Linked DNA regions of Ovis aries. The protein of the gene in region 1 interacts with the protein of each later gene in a biochemical or structural test. Links are inferred from orthologs where the notes say so. Each region holds a gene or a part of one and is shown on either strand. Other genes may lie near its edges. The genes, in order: FLNA, ITGB1 and ASB2.

Region 1 (3,645 bases):
AGGAGACAGGAGAACACCTGGTGCACGTGAAGAAGAATGGGCAGCATGTGGCAAGCAGCCCCATTCCAGTGGTGATCAGCCAATCAGAGATCGGGGATGCCAGCCGTGTGCGGGTCTCGGGCCAGGGCCTCCATGAAGGCCACACCTTTGAGCCAGCAGAGTTTATCATTGATACACGCGATGCAGGTAGGCGGTAGGGACCTGGGAGCGGGGGTCAGACTGCCATACTTGGCCCCCTGGCTCAGGGATGTCTCGCCCACAGGCTATGGGGGGCTCAGCCTGTCCATCGAGGGTCCCAGCAAAGTAGACATCAACACAGAGGACCTGGAGGATGGCACATGCAGGGTCACCTACTGCCCCACGGAGCCTGGCAACTATATCATCAACATCAAGTTTGCTGACCAGCACGTGCCTGGTGGGTACAGCACCCATGTACCTCCCCCACTGCTGGGTGACTCTCCATGCCACACTCCAGGGGCCCCCAGCAGAGGGTAACCTGTCTGGGGTGTGGGTTGTGCCTTCTTCCTGCAGGCAGCCCCTTCTCCGTGAAGGTGACAGGCGAGGGGCGCGTAAAAGAGAGCATCACGCGCAGGCGACGGGCCCCATCGGTGGCTAATGTTGGTAGTCACTGTGACCTCAGCCTCAAGATCCCAGGTGGGAGCTGTGGCCGCCTGGGCGGGTCCCGGGGAGGCCTAAGCACTAGCTCTGGGGTGCCCCCGGACAGAGAGGCGTGGCCTGGGTCTCTTGCTCAACTGGCTATTCCCCCACCTGCAGAAATTAGCATCCAGGACATGACAGCGCAGGTGACTAGCCCGTCAGGCAAGAGCCATGAGGCCGAGATCGTGGAAGGGGAGAACCATACTTACTGCATCCGCTTTGTGCCTGCTGAGATGGGCATGCACACAGTCAGCGTCAAGTACAAGGGCCAGCACGTGCCCGGGAGCCCTTTCCAGTTCACTGTGGGGCCCCTGGGGGAAGGGGGAGCCCACAAGGTCCGTGCCGGGGGCCCTGGCCTGGAAAGGGCTGAAGCTGGAGTGCCAGGTAGGCCTGCTTCCTTTGGGGCTCTGTCTGCTCCCGGCTGGGGGTGCAGTGGGAGGGAGGAAGTCTCCAGCAGCCCATGCTGGGGGTGGGGAGCACAGCCCTCCATGAGGACACATTCTGCCTTCCTGCAGCCGAGTTTAGCATTTGGACCCGGGAAGCTGGTGCGGGGGGCCTGGCCATTGCTGTCGAGGGCCCCAGCAAGGCCGAGATCTCCTTCGAGGACCGCAAGGATGGCTCCTGTGGCGTGGCTTATGTGGTCCAGGAGCCAGGTACTGCGGTCTGGCTGGGGCCGGCAGGCTGCCCCTTGGGGCTGGGTGCCCGTCCAGGTCTATACAGAGATCTCCACCTTCTCCCCCTCTCAACACCCTGAGGCCCCAGGGCCTCTTGGGCTGTCGGGGGGGAGGCATGCATGGCCATCTTGTTCTCGCTCCCCATCCAGGTGACTATGAGGTGTCAGTCAAGTTCAACGAGGAGCACATCCCCGATAGCCCTTTCGTGGTACCTGTGGCTTCTCCGTCTGGTGACGCCCGCCGCCTTACTGTTTCTAGTCTTCAGGTGAGGCACTGAGAGAAACCGCCCGCCTGGGGCTCCTGTGCCCGGCCAGACCAGAGTTCCTGTGTCCAGGGACCCAGCCAGCCCAGCTCAGGGCGCCGGGCTGCTTCTGCTCTGGCCGGGAACAGCCCATGCCTGGGTCGGCAGGACGCACCCCTGACGGCCGCGTGGAGTTTTTCTCGTGTCTCAGGTCTAAAGGCTTTGAACAGAAGCCTGTGCCCCTTGAGCACCAGGGCTGAGGTTTAAAGAGGGACAGCCACCTGCCAGGGCTGCTGAGTGCTGCTTGTGGGCCGGGGGGCGCCCTGCTTCCCGCCTACCCGCTGTGTGCCTGGAGTGCGTGGGGCTAGGGGTTTGGGGTGTGTGCCTGGAGCTTGCTGCCCCTCGAGAAGCGCTGGCTCTCCCTCTTTAAACCCACTTGGACGCCAGATGGGTAAGTGCCTCCCCCTGGGCCTCCTGCTTCTGGGGCCCAGCCTCCCCTCACGCCCCCCCCCCACCCCCGCCAGCCTCCGCTATCCTAACCATGTCTGCTGTGCTTCCAGGAGTCAGGGCTAAAGGTCAACCAGCCAGCCTCTTTTGCAGTCAGCCTGAATGGGGCCAAGGGGGCAATCGATGCCAAGGTGCACAGCCCCTCAGGAGCCCTGGAGGAGTGCTATGTCACCGAGATCGACCAAGGTGAGGCCCTGCCTGGCCACCCAGCCATCCACCCGGGCACTGCTGGGAGCAGTGGGCCTCCCCAGGCCGGCCCTGCTGGCTGGAAGCAGGCTGAGAGTGTAAAGCAAGACACATAATCTGCAAGCAGCCGAGACAGGGCCTGGGCCCCCCGCCCCCTACTTGGGACCCAAGCCCTTGGGGACTGGGCTCAGCAGCCATGCTGTTAGAAAGGACAAAGCCCTCTGGAGGCATGATCCTGCCATCTCTTACAAGAGAGACCCCAAGTCTAGCAGTTGGTCCTGCCAGGGCCTGGAACTCACAGACAGGCTTGGGGGTGGGAGGAGCTGCTCAATTTGACTCGTCCATGGCTAAGTCCTGCCCCTTGCTGGCTGTATGACCTCGAGCAAGTTCCTGCCTATCTCTGGGCCCCAGTTAGCATGTGGTGGATATGACATTCAGGGTAGCCTTTCTAAGGAGGCATTGAAGCAGGTGTCTTGCTTACAAAAGACTTCAGTCCAAATGCTGCAGCATCTAAAGTGAGCTTGGGCATCTGTCAGTAGCTTGGGCATCTAAAGCTTCATCCCTCGGGCTTCAGGATTTCTGTACAGTAGGGTGAAGGTGCCCAGCACAGTTCCCAGAAGAAGCTAACTGGGCCCCAAGACCTGCTAGACTCATATTGGTGGGCACATGCCACTTGCTCAGTTTTAGAGGAGGGACCCCAGGCCCACCACCTACTTCTCTGTTCCTCAGATAAGTATGCTGTGCGCTTTATCCCACGGGAGAATGGCATCTACCTGATTGATGTCAAATTCAACGGCACCCACATCCCGGGGAGCCCCTTCAAGATCCGAGTTGGGGAGCCTGGGCATGGAGGGGACCCAGGCCTGGTGTCTGCTTATGGAGCTGGCTTGGAAGGCGGCATCACAGGTAGGTCAGCATGAGTGGCTTCTGGTGTGTGAACACAATGACTAGGGTTCCCTCCTCCAAGCTCTTGGTGACAACAGGTGGCGTGCGGAGGTGACAAGACTCTGTTGGGGTGGGGGGTGGGGCAACGGGCCAGGCCAGCTGTACCTACCTTCCCGTGCCCCCAGGGAGCCCAGCTGAGTTTATCGTGAACACCAGCAATGCGGGCGCTGGTGCCCTCTCAGTCACCATCGACGGGCCTTCCAAGGTGAAGATGGATTGCCATGAGTGCCCTGAGGGCTACCGCGTCACCTACACCCCCATGGCACCTGGCAGCTACCTCATCTCCATCAAGTACGGCGGCCCCTACCACATTGCGGGCAGCCCCTTCAAGGCCAGAGTCACAGGTGAGCCTGGTGCCAGACGGCTGCTACACAACCCATTGCTGGGCACTCCTGCCACCTCTTGGCTGTCCACTGCTCTGCCCTGCAGGTCACC
Region 2 (4,090 bases), on another chromosome or scaffold:
TACACTATTCCTACCTACTAGGATACTCTGTTTAGCATGGTGAAACTGACCAACGTTTGAAACGCTCATAAATTTTATAGTTAGCTGTTCTTCGATGAATATTTATCTGAAATCACGAATGGAGCCATACTCCTGACCAATCACTGCTTTTCTTAGAGAATATATTTCTTTAATTTCTCATTTCCTCAAAGCTCATAACTTCTGCAGATAAATTGCTACTCACACTTTAGTGCAGTTGGATGTTCTGGTGTGGTCCCAGGGGAGCAAAAGGACCCATTTATTCATTTATCCAGTATTAGCTGAGCCCCTATTGTGTGACCTGGAACAGTGTTTGACACTGAGATTAAAAAGATGATTATTACACTGCCTTTGGTCTAATTTAGTTTAATGTTGTGCAAATGTGAATCTTATAATGTAGCAAATCACACAAGGAAGAAAGTTCTGGGGAATGTAGTACAAATCAAGCATGGATAAACTACACTTTAGAATGGTAATCCATGCTGAGACCAGACATAGATTTTGAGCAGTTTTGAACAACAGTATTAATAGTACATTTAAATTCAAGAATGTTGAGGTCTGCTGGCAGCTGCACCATTGGGTTGTTAACATAGATATATTAATTAAAAAAAAATTTAAGTATAGTTGATTTACAATGTTACGCTAGTGTCCAGTGTACAGAAAAGTTTGTTATATATATCACTGAAAAGAAACTGAAAAAGAATATATACATGGAAAAGAATCTGAAAAAGAATTTATTTGAGATTCTTTTCTATTATGGGTTATTACAGGTTACTGAATATAGTTCCCTGTGCTCTACAGTAGGTCCTTGTTTGTGTTTTATTTAGAGTAGTGTGTGTATGCTCATCCCAAACTCCTAATTTATCCTCCCTCCCCTTAACCATGGGATTGTTTTCCTATGTCTGTGAGACTATTTCTGTTTTGTAAAGAAGTTCATCTATATCCTTTTTTAGATTCCCCAAATAAGGAAACATCATTTAGTCTCTTAAATTTGCTCATCCATTAAGTGGGAAAAATCATTCTTGTTTCTTTAGAGGTTTCCAGAGATTACCTAACCAAAGATTTAATTTTGCTGGCGAGCAATGGGTAACATTTCCATAGATGGGGTTGTCTTTTTTTCTTCCTCAAGATTGGTCGTCAAATGAGCATCACAGCTTCTAATCTTCCCCAAATGAAACACTGCTTCTCAGTTTCACAAATCTCATCATTCGAGTTCTGTTCCCAACAGGGTGCTGCAGCTCACCACGTGGCAATGGACATTTTCTGCTAACAGGATGGCAGCCTGCCAGCAGCGCATTCTGAGTAACCGGGTTTCAGTATGATGCCGGCCGGCAGAGGTTTCGATGCTCTTATCAAAATGTGCCCAGCCATGCTTCTTTTAGCTGTCTCTTCTCCAGCCCCCCTATCCACCTACTGAAAAAAGTGAGGTAGGACAGAAACGGTATCAAGGATGAACTTTTCCTTCTCCTCCCTGTTCCCCATAAATGGACCTCCAGATGAACCTAACAAAAGCTGCTCCTCAACTCACCAGCTTCTCTCTACAACTTTCTTCATTTTTCCTGGCACCCGTCTCCTCCGTAAGTCTTCCCCTCTCTCAAAGACGTAAATCAAGCAAATCCTCCCACCAGAAAAATATCGGCTTTAGCTACTTCCCTTCCAAAGGGAAACGTTTTTGGCCCCACGAAACCTTAACAAGGTGAGTGACTAAGTGTCCCGGATCTGTCTGAGCCGGCTCCTGGGAGGCAGGGCTTCCAGGGTTCAACCCCGGGCAGTCCTCCGGCCGGACAGACACGGGGCTTTGAAGAAGCAGCGCCTAAGGCAGGCCGAGAAGGATATTAAGGTGAGCAGGGCCAGGCAAAATCCTCCCTCTCTCCCTCGGCTGCAAAGAAAGGAGGCGCGGCCGAGGTTGCGGCGGAGCCCGCGGCCCAGCAGGGCCGCTCCTTTGTCCCGTGGCCCCCGCCCCTCGCACGGCCCGCGCCGCAGTCCCCCTGCCCCTCCCCCTCCGTCCCCTCCCCCTCCCCGCCCTGTCCCCCTCCCCCTCCCACCGCGGGCGCGGCTGACGCGGCCCGAGAGGAATGCGCTTCCGGAGGGCGAGAGCCGCGGCGGCGGCCTGCGGAGCGGGATCGCAGCGCCAGGGAGGCGGTGCCCCGGGGGTCGTTTCCTGCCGGGAGGCGGCCCCGCGCCGCCGAGTCTCCTCCTCCCGCCCGCGAGGAGGAGGAGCCGCCGCCGCCGCCGCCGCGCCCGAGCCCGGGAGGCCACGCCAGCTCGGGACAGGCCGAGCGGGAACCGCGGAGCACAGGCCGAGCCGACCGCGCGGGCCGGACGCCGCGGGAGAAGGTGGGCCCGGGAGGGCGGGCGGCGGGCTCGGTGCGCGGCCGGGCTCTCATGGAGGAGCGGACGTGGGGGCCGCGGCCTCCGGGTGGATTCCAAGCCGTCAGGCGGGGGAGGAAGTCGGGCCGCGGCCGCCCCTGGACCTTCCCGGCAGGGGCGCTGTCCTCGCGGGGCCGCGGTCGCGGAGGCCCGGGAGTCGGACCAGCCACTCGGACGCTGGGCTGGGCGCGGACGGGCCTCCGCGGACCTGCGTCCGGCAGCGGCCTCGGCTGCCGGGTCTCCACGCCGGGACCACTCACCCCGGCTCCAGCCCCGCGTCCCTGGCGTCGCCGCGCCGCTGGGCACCGGGGAGCCGGGTGGGCGCGTCCTGTGGGCCCTTCTCCTAATGCTGGGTGTGGGCGCCGCGGCCGTGTCCAGGGCTCCTGCCCAGCCTGTGCCTGATTCGTGCCGTTCCCGATGCTTCAGAACAAGTTGTATTTTTAAGAATGGTAGTATTTCATGCCAGAGCAATTTTTGTTTCATCAGTTTTGTGCTTTTGCATGAAAACCTAGCGCTAGTCTGTATGATCATTACTAGTAAATTACACTCTTTAAGGCTCCATTTCTTCCATCTGTAAAATGGGAACAGTACCTACCTATACTAATAATAAAACTAGGAATTATTATGAGGACAGTGAGGGCTATGCCTACCTCTATGCACTTTACCTTTATTTTGTCCTTTAATCCTGGAACTGATCCAAAGAGGTAGGTGTTGTATTTAATCCCTGTTTTACAAATGAAACTGAGGCACAGGGAGCATAAGTGGTCACCCAGTTGTGATGAGGACAACCCATGTGGTCCAGCAACCCGTGTTTGAACCACAGGTAACCTTGTATAGGTACAGTGCAGTGGTGAGAAAATGTAAGATAGAAGACACTTAGCGCAATGAATATTAACTCCTTTTCTTTCCTTCTTGATACAGTAGAAGGACTTTAAAAAAAACCTCATGTAATTGGTGATATCAGTAAGGTTTCTTTGAATCTGCGTTCCACATAAATATTAGCCGGGTAGAATTATTGTTATTTTTTATTGTTGTTTTGATGGTACAATAATAACAAATGCTAACTGAATTTCGATTAGGAATTTTTCTTAAACTGAGTCCAGACTTTGCAATACGTTGTGTGTTAAACACTTAAGAAGTGGTGAAGGAACTTGACTTGCAAGTTACCTATTCTGGATCTGTGGACATCAAGGCTCACAGGAGTCAGGGGTGGCTTAAGAGCCCTACAGAGATGTTCACATTTGAAAATAATTTTAGTTCACTGATTAATAAATGAGGGATTGAAGATGATTAGCTGATAAATAGAAAACACATGAAAGAAATCCATGTTTTAGTTAATAGGCATTTGAGGAGAAAGCGATTATACCCACCCTAGAATGCAGTATAAAATGGAAGATGTTATTAGAATGCTAGTTAAAAAGATGGGATGTGGTTAATACTTTGCTTCTGTAAATAGCAAACTCCAGATTGAGTCATCAGTGTTGATTTCACAGACTTAAAATTTAAAGTTTTTGTAATGTTGATTCTTTTTAAAAGAATGTTAAATTCTGTATTGTTTTCTAATCCCCTCGCTATTCTGTGTGTGGAAAGTATAGGATCAGTAATATTAAATAAATCATTGGATTTAGGTGGCTTTCTCCTCAGCTTTCTGGTCAGGATATTTAAAAGCTGCCCCAAATTAGCATCATTGAATGGACATGCC
Region 3 (3,693 bases), on another chromosome or scaffold:
TATTGACTACACCAAAGCCTTTGACTGTGTTAATCACAACAAACTGGAAAATTCTTCAAGAGACAGGAATACCAGACTACCTGAACTGCCTCCTGAGAAATCTGTATGGAGATCAAGAAGCAACAGTTAGAACTGGACATGGAACAACAGACTGGTTCCAAATAGGGAAAGGAGTACATCAAGGTTGTATATTGTCACCCTGCTTATTTAACTTATATGCAGTTTATATCATGCGAAATCCCAGGCTGGATGAAGCACAAGCTGGAATCAAGATTGCCGGGAGAAATATCAATAACCTCAGATATATAGATGACACCACCCTTATGGCAGAAAGTGAAGATGAACTAAAGAGCCTCTTGATGAAAGTGAAAGAGGAGAGTGAAAAAGTTGGCTTAAAGCTCAACATTGAGAAAACTAAGATCATGGCATCCAGTCCCATCACTTCATGGCAAATAGATGGAGAAACAATGTAAACAGTGAGAGATTTTATTTTTGGGGGCTCCAAAATCACTGCAAGTGGTAACTGTAGCCATGAAATTAAAAGACAATTGCTCCTTGGAGGAAAAGCTAGACAAAATATTAAAAGGCAGAGACATTACTTTGCCAACAAAGGTCCGTCTAGTCAAGGCTATGGTTTTCCAGTAGTCATGTATGGATATGAGAGTTGGACTATAAAGAAATCTGAGTGCCAAAGAATTGATGCTTTTGAACTGTGGTATTGGAGAAGACTCTTGAGAAGTCCCTTGGACTGCAAGGAGATCAAACCAGTTCATCCTAAAGGAGATCAGTCCTGGGTGTTCATTGGAAGGACTGATGCTGAAGCTGAAACTCCTATACTTTGGCCACCTGATGCCAAGGACTAACTCATTGGGAAAGACCCTGATGGTGGGAAAGATTGAGGGCAGGAGGAGAAGGGGACAACAGAGGATGAGATGGTTGGCTGATATCACTGACTGGATGGACTTGAGTTTGAGCAAGCTCTGGGACAGGGAAGCCTGGCGTGCTGCAGTCCATGGGGTCACAAGGAGACGGACACAGCTGAGTGACTGAACTGACTGACTGACTTTCATTTAATGCTGTGTTGTTGATATCAGAGGCTCCAAAGCCAGCCAGGATGCCAGCCTTGGAGGCCTTGTGTCCTCTGCCTGCCAGCAGCCTTTTGCCTTCCCACAAGCTCAGCCTTTGCTCTGCTGAGAAAGGGGCTGTGCTTTCCAGGGCAGGCTCTGTCCTGAGATCAGAGGGCAGTGGAAGTGTCAGAAATGCCCTGATGGGGCGGCTGGAGAGGCTACACTGTGGCGCCCTGGCCTCTCCACCCTCCCCACGTTCCCTCTGCATTCCCGTCTCCCCTGGGCGGTCTCTTTGGCTTGGCACTGCTGCTTCCCCTGCTTGGACTGCCCTGCCTCTGTCCCCGACCTGGCAACTTCCTACCCACCCATCGAGACCTTTCAGATGCACCATCTGGTATGGAAGGCTTTCCCCAAAGCTCCTGAGTGGATACCCCTGTACCTCTGTCCCAAGCACAGGGCCAAGTGCAGTGAAGGGGTCAGCATGTGTGTGTTGAATGAATGAATGGATGGAGTTCTTTGATTCATCAAATGCCTACCCTGTTCCCGGAGCTGAAATTAATTACCCCATTACTAGATGCATCACGGGGTAATCTTACCCCCTTCTCTCCACCCCCCCACCCCTTAGCTGAGAAAGCTCCACTTAATGAAGTATCCCTGGGGGCCTCCTGGAAGAGGCGGCCTGGTAGGATTCTGGGACCTGCTCAGTCCCTGCCTGTTGATCCTGACTTCTCTGCACCTCCTAGAACCCAGGGCTGAACTGGACGCGTGGGGTCACTTAGGAGGTCGTATTTGCTGAGGCTATGAGGAAGGGCAGGGTCTGGGCTGACACGTAGAGGAGGGAGCCCAGGACAAGCTCCAGTGCCAGGCGTGATTCTTGCTAAGCCCTCACCTGTGAAATGGGTTTGGTACCTGCCCTCCTTGGGCTTCCCTGGTGGCTCAGTGGTAAAGAATCCACCTGCCAATGCAGGAGACGTGCGCTCAATCCCTGGGTCAGGACGATCCCCTGGAGAAGGAAATGGCCTCCCACTCCAGTATTATTCTTACTTGGGAAATCCCATGGACAGAGGAACCTGGTGGGCTACCGTCCATGGGATCACAAAAGAGTTGAACACGACTTAGCAACTAAACAACAACATCAAACCTGCCCTCCTTCTTCCTTGGGCTGTGCAGATGAATGAAGTATGGCACCTTTTCAGTTGGCAGGGACCGTGAGCATGGGGGAATCAGGGCATCTCCTCTCTTAGCCAGCCACACGGGTCAGGTGCTTCCCACAAGCCAGGGGTCAGAGATGCCAACCCTCTGCCAGGTGCAAGCGACCAATCAGCATCTCTCTTTCTGTCTTTTCCAGAACCTCCAAGACCCCTGGCTCATCTTTGCCGGCTGCGAGTTCGAAAGGCCATCGGGAAATACCGCATCAAACTCCTGGACACGTTGCCGCTTCCAGGCAGGCTGATCAGATACCTGAAATACGAGAACACCCAGTAACCAGAGCACGCAGGGGCGGAGCAGCTCCTCAGACGGTTTCGCTGAGTCTCAGGACAGCCGTGTCTCCAAATCCAGGGGGCCCGGGGACAGATGTGGCTGGGAGCTGCCGGGCTCTCAGAGGTCTCTGGGCCAGAGCTTTGCCCAGAGCAGAGGACAGATGTATCGAGCAGGAGAAGAACTGGGTTGGCTTTCACTTGGATGAGGAAATCCCAGACCGGCTCTGCCATTGGGAATGGCAGAAAGCTCCATTCCTGGGGCCGAGAGGCGGGACCAGGGCAGAACTTGGGGTGGTCAGGGGAAGGCAAGGGGGCTGGCAGCGAAGCCCTGACCCCACCTCCAGGCTGTGGTTGGAGAGCTTTCTTTCTGGGGTGATTCTGTCTTTGCTGGGCCACCTCGCTGCAGAGCTGCCCCGTGCCCCTCCCCCTGTGCTCTGTGAAACTCTCCACTTGACTCAGTTCTCTCCCCAAAGCTGTGGCCCAGGGGAGCAGGGTGGGAGACCTCGGGCCCGGAGGGCTTCCTTAGGTACAATAAATGTTGCACAGATGACAGCCTGCCCAGTGAAGTCTCTCACCAGCCCCCTCCAGGGCCTTGAGGTCCTCAGTCCAGCTCCTGGTGGGAGTGAGGGTGGGACCGGGGGCTGGGACAGGGCACGTGGAGCCCTGATCACATCACTTTGGTTTGGACTTCTGAAAGGCCCCAGAGCATGTGTCCTTCATTCACCAGAAGAGACCTGATGGCCAGAGGAGAGGGGGCAGCTGGCTGCCCTGTGATCGAAGCTGGCAACATTGCTTTCTCTCTCCTGGTTCCGTTGCCATAGAAACCAGAGCTTCATCACAAACAGGGTCTCAGAGCCTACAAGTCTCCTGACACCTGGCCTTGTCTTACGCACACATTCCCTGGCACTGTCTTCACGTCTTAACTCACCCATTTGGCAACAAAGGCTGAGATACGAGGGGAAAGCCATCTAAGTACTGGCTCCTGTGAGCAGGTGCCAGAGGGAGGCTGTCGTCTCTCCTCTCAAAGGCCCCACGCTTGAGAGGCAGGAAGCCAGCCCTGTGCCCTCCGCCACATCCTCCTATCCTCCCATGACTTGGGGGAAGCCGGGCAGGAGCCGCCAGCCCGTTTTGGGTGTTGCAGGTGA

Evidence for each region.
Region 2: the proteins of FLNA (region 1) and ITGB1 form a complex in vitro, tested with the Homo sapiens proteins (3 studies listed by BioGRID and IntAct). The link is inferred for Ovis aries from reciprocal best matches to the Homo sapiens genes FLNA and ITGB1.
Region 3: the proteins of FLNA (region 1) and ASB2 form a complex in vitro, tested with the Homo sapiens proteins (3 studies listed by BioGRID, with this or other methods). The link is inferred for Ovis aries from reciprocal best matches to the Homo sapiens genes FLNA and ASB2.

The regions. Positions count from the first base shown.
Region 1 is NC_056080.1:80,098,313-80,101,957, forward strand, and holds part of FLNA (filamin-A), read left to right. Parts: coding exon 1-186; intron 187-262; coding exon 263-415; intron 416-531; coding exon 532-654; intron 655-774; coding exon 775-1,041; intron 1,042-1,172; coding exon 1,173-1,310; intron 1,311-1,480; coding exon 1,481-1,596; intron 1,597-2,132; coding exon 2,133-2,265; intron 2,266-2,994; coding exon 2,995-3,171; intron 3,172-3,335; coding exon 3,336-3,554; intron 3,555-3,639; coding exon 3,640-3,645. UniProt on the Homo sapiens protein: Promotes orthogonal branching of actin filaments and links actin filaments to membrane glycoproteins. Anchors various transmembrane proteins to the actin cytoskeleton and serves as a scaffold for a wide range of cytoplasmic signaling proteins.
Region 2 is NC_056066.1:19,294,006-19,298,095, forward strand, and holds the start of ITGB1 (integrin beta-1), read left to right. Parts: upstream 1-1,206; 5' UTR 1,207-1,502; coding exon 1,503-1,595; exon of another isoform or gene 1,596-1,714; intron 1,715-1,804; exon of another isoform or gene 1,805-1,858; intron 1,859-2,261; exon of another isoform or gene 2,262-2,355; intron 2,356-4,090.
Region 3 is NC_056071.1:56,316,275-56,319,967, reverse strand, and holds the end of ASB2 (ankyrin repeat and SOCS box protein 2), read left to right. Parts: intron 1-2,415; coding exon 2,416-2,552; 3' UTR 2,553-3,098; downstream 3,099-3,693. UniProt on the Homo sapiens protein: Substrate-recognition component of a SCF-like ECS (Elongin-Cullin-SOCS-box protein) E3 ubiquitin-protein ligase complex which mediates the ubiquitination and subsequent proteasomal degradation of target proteins.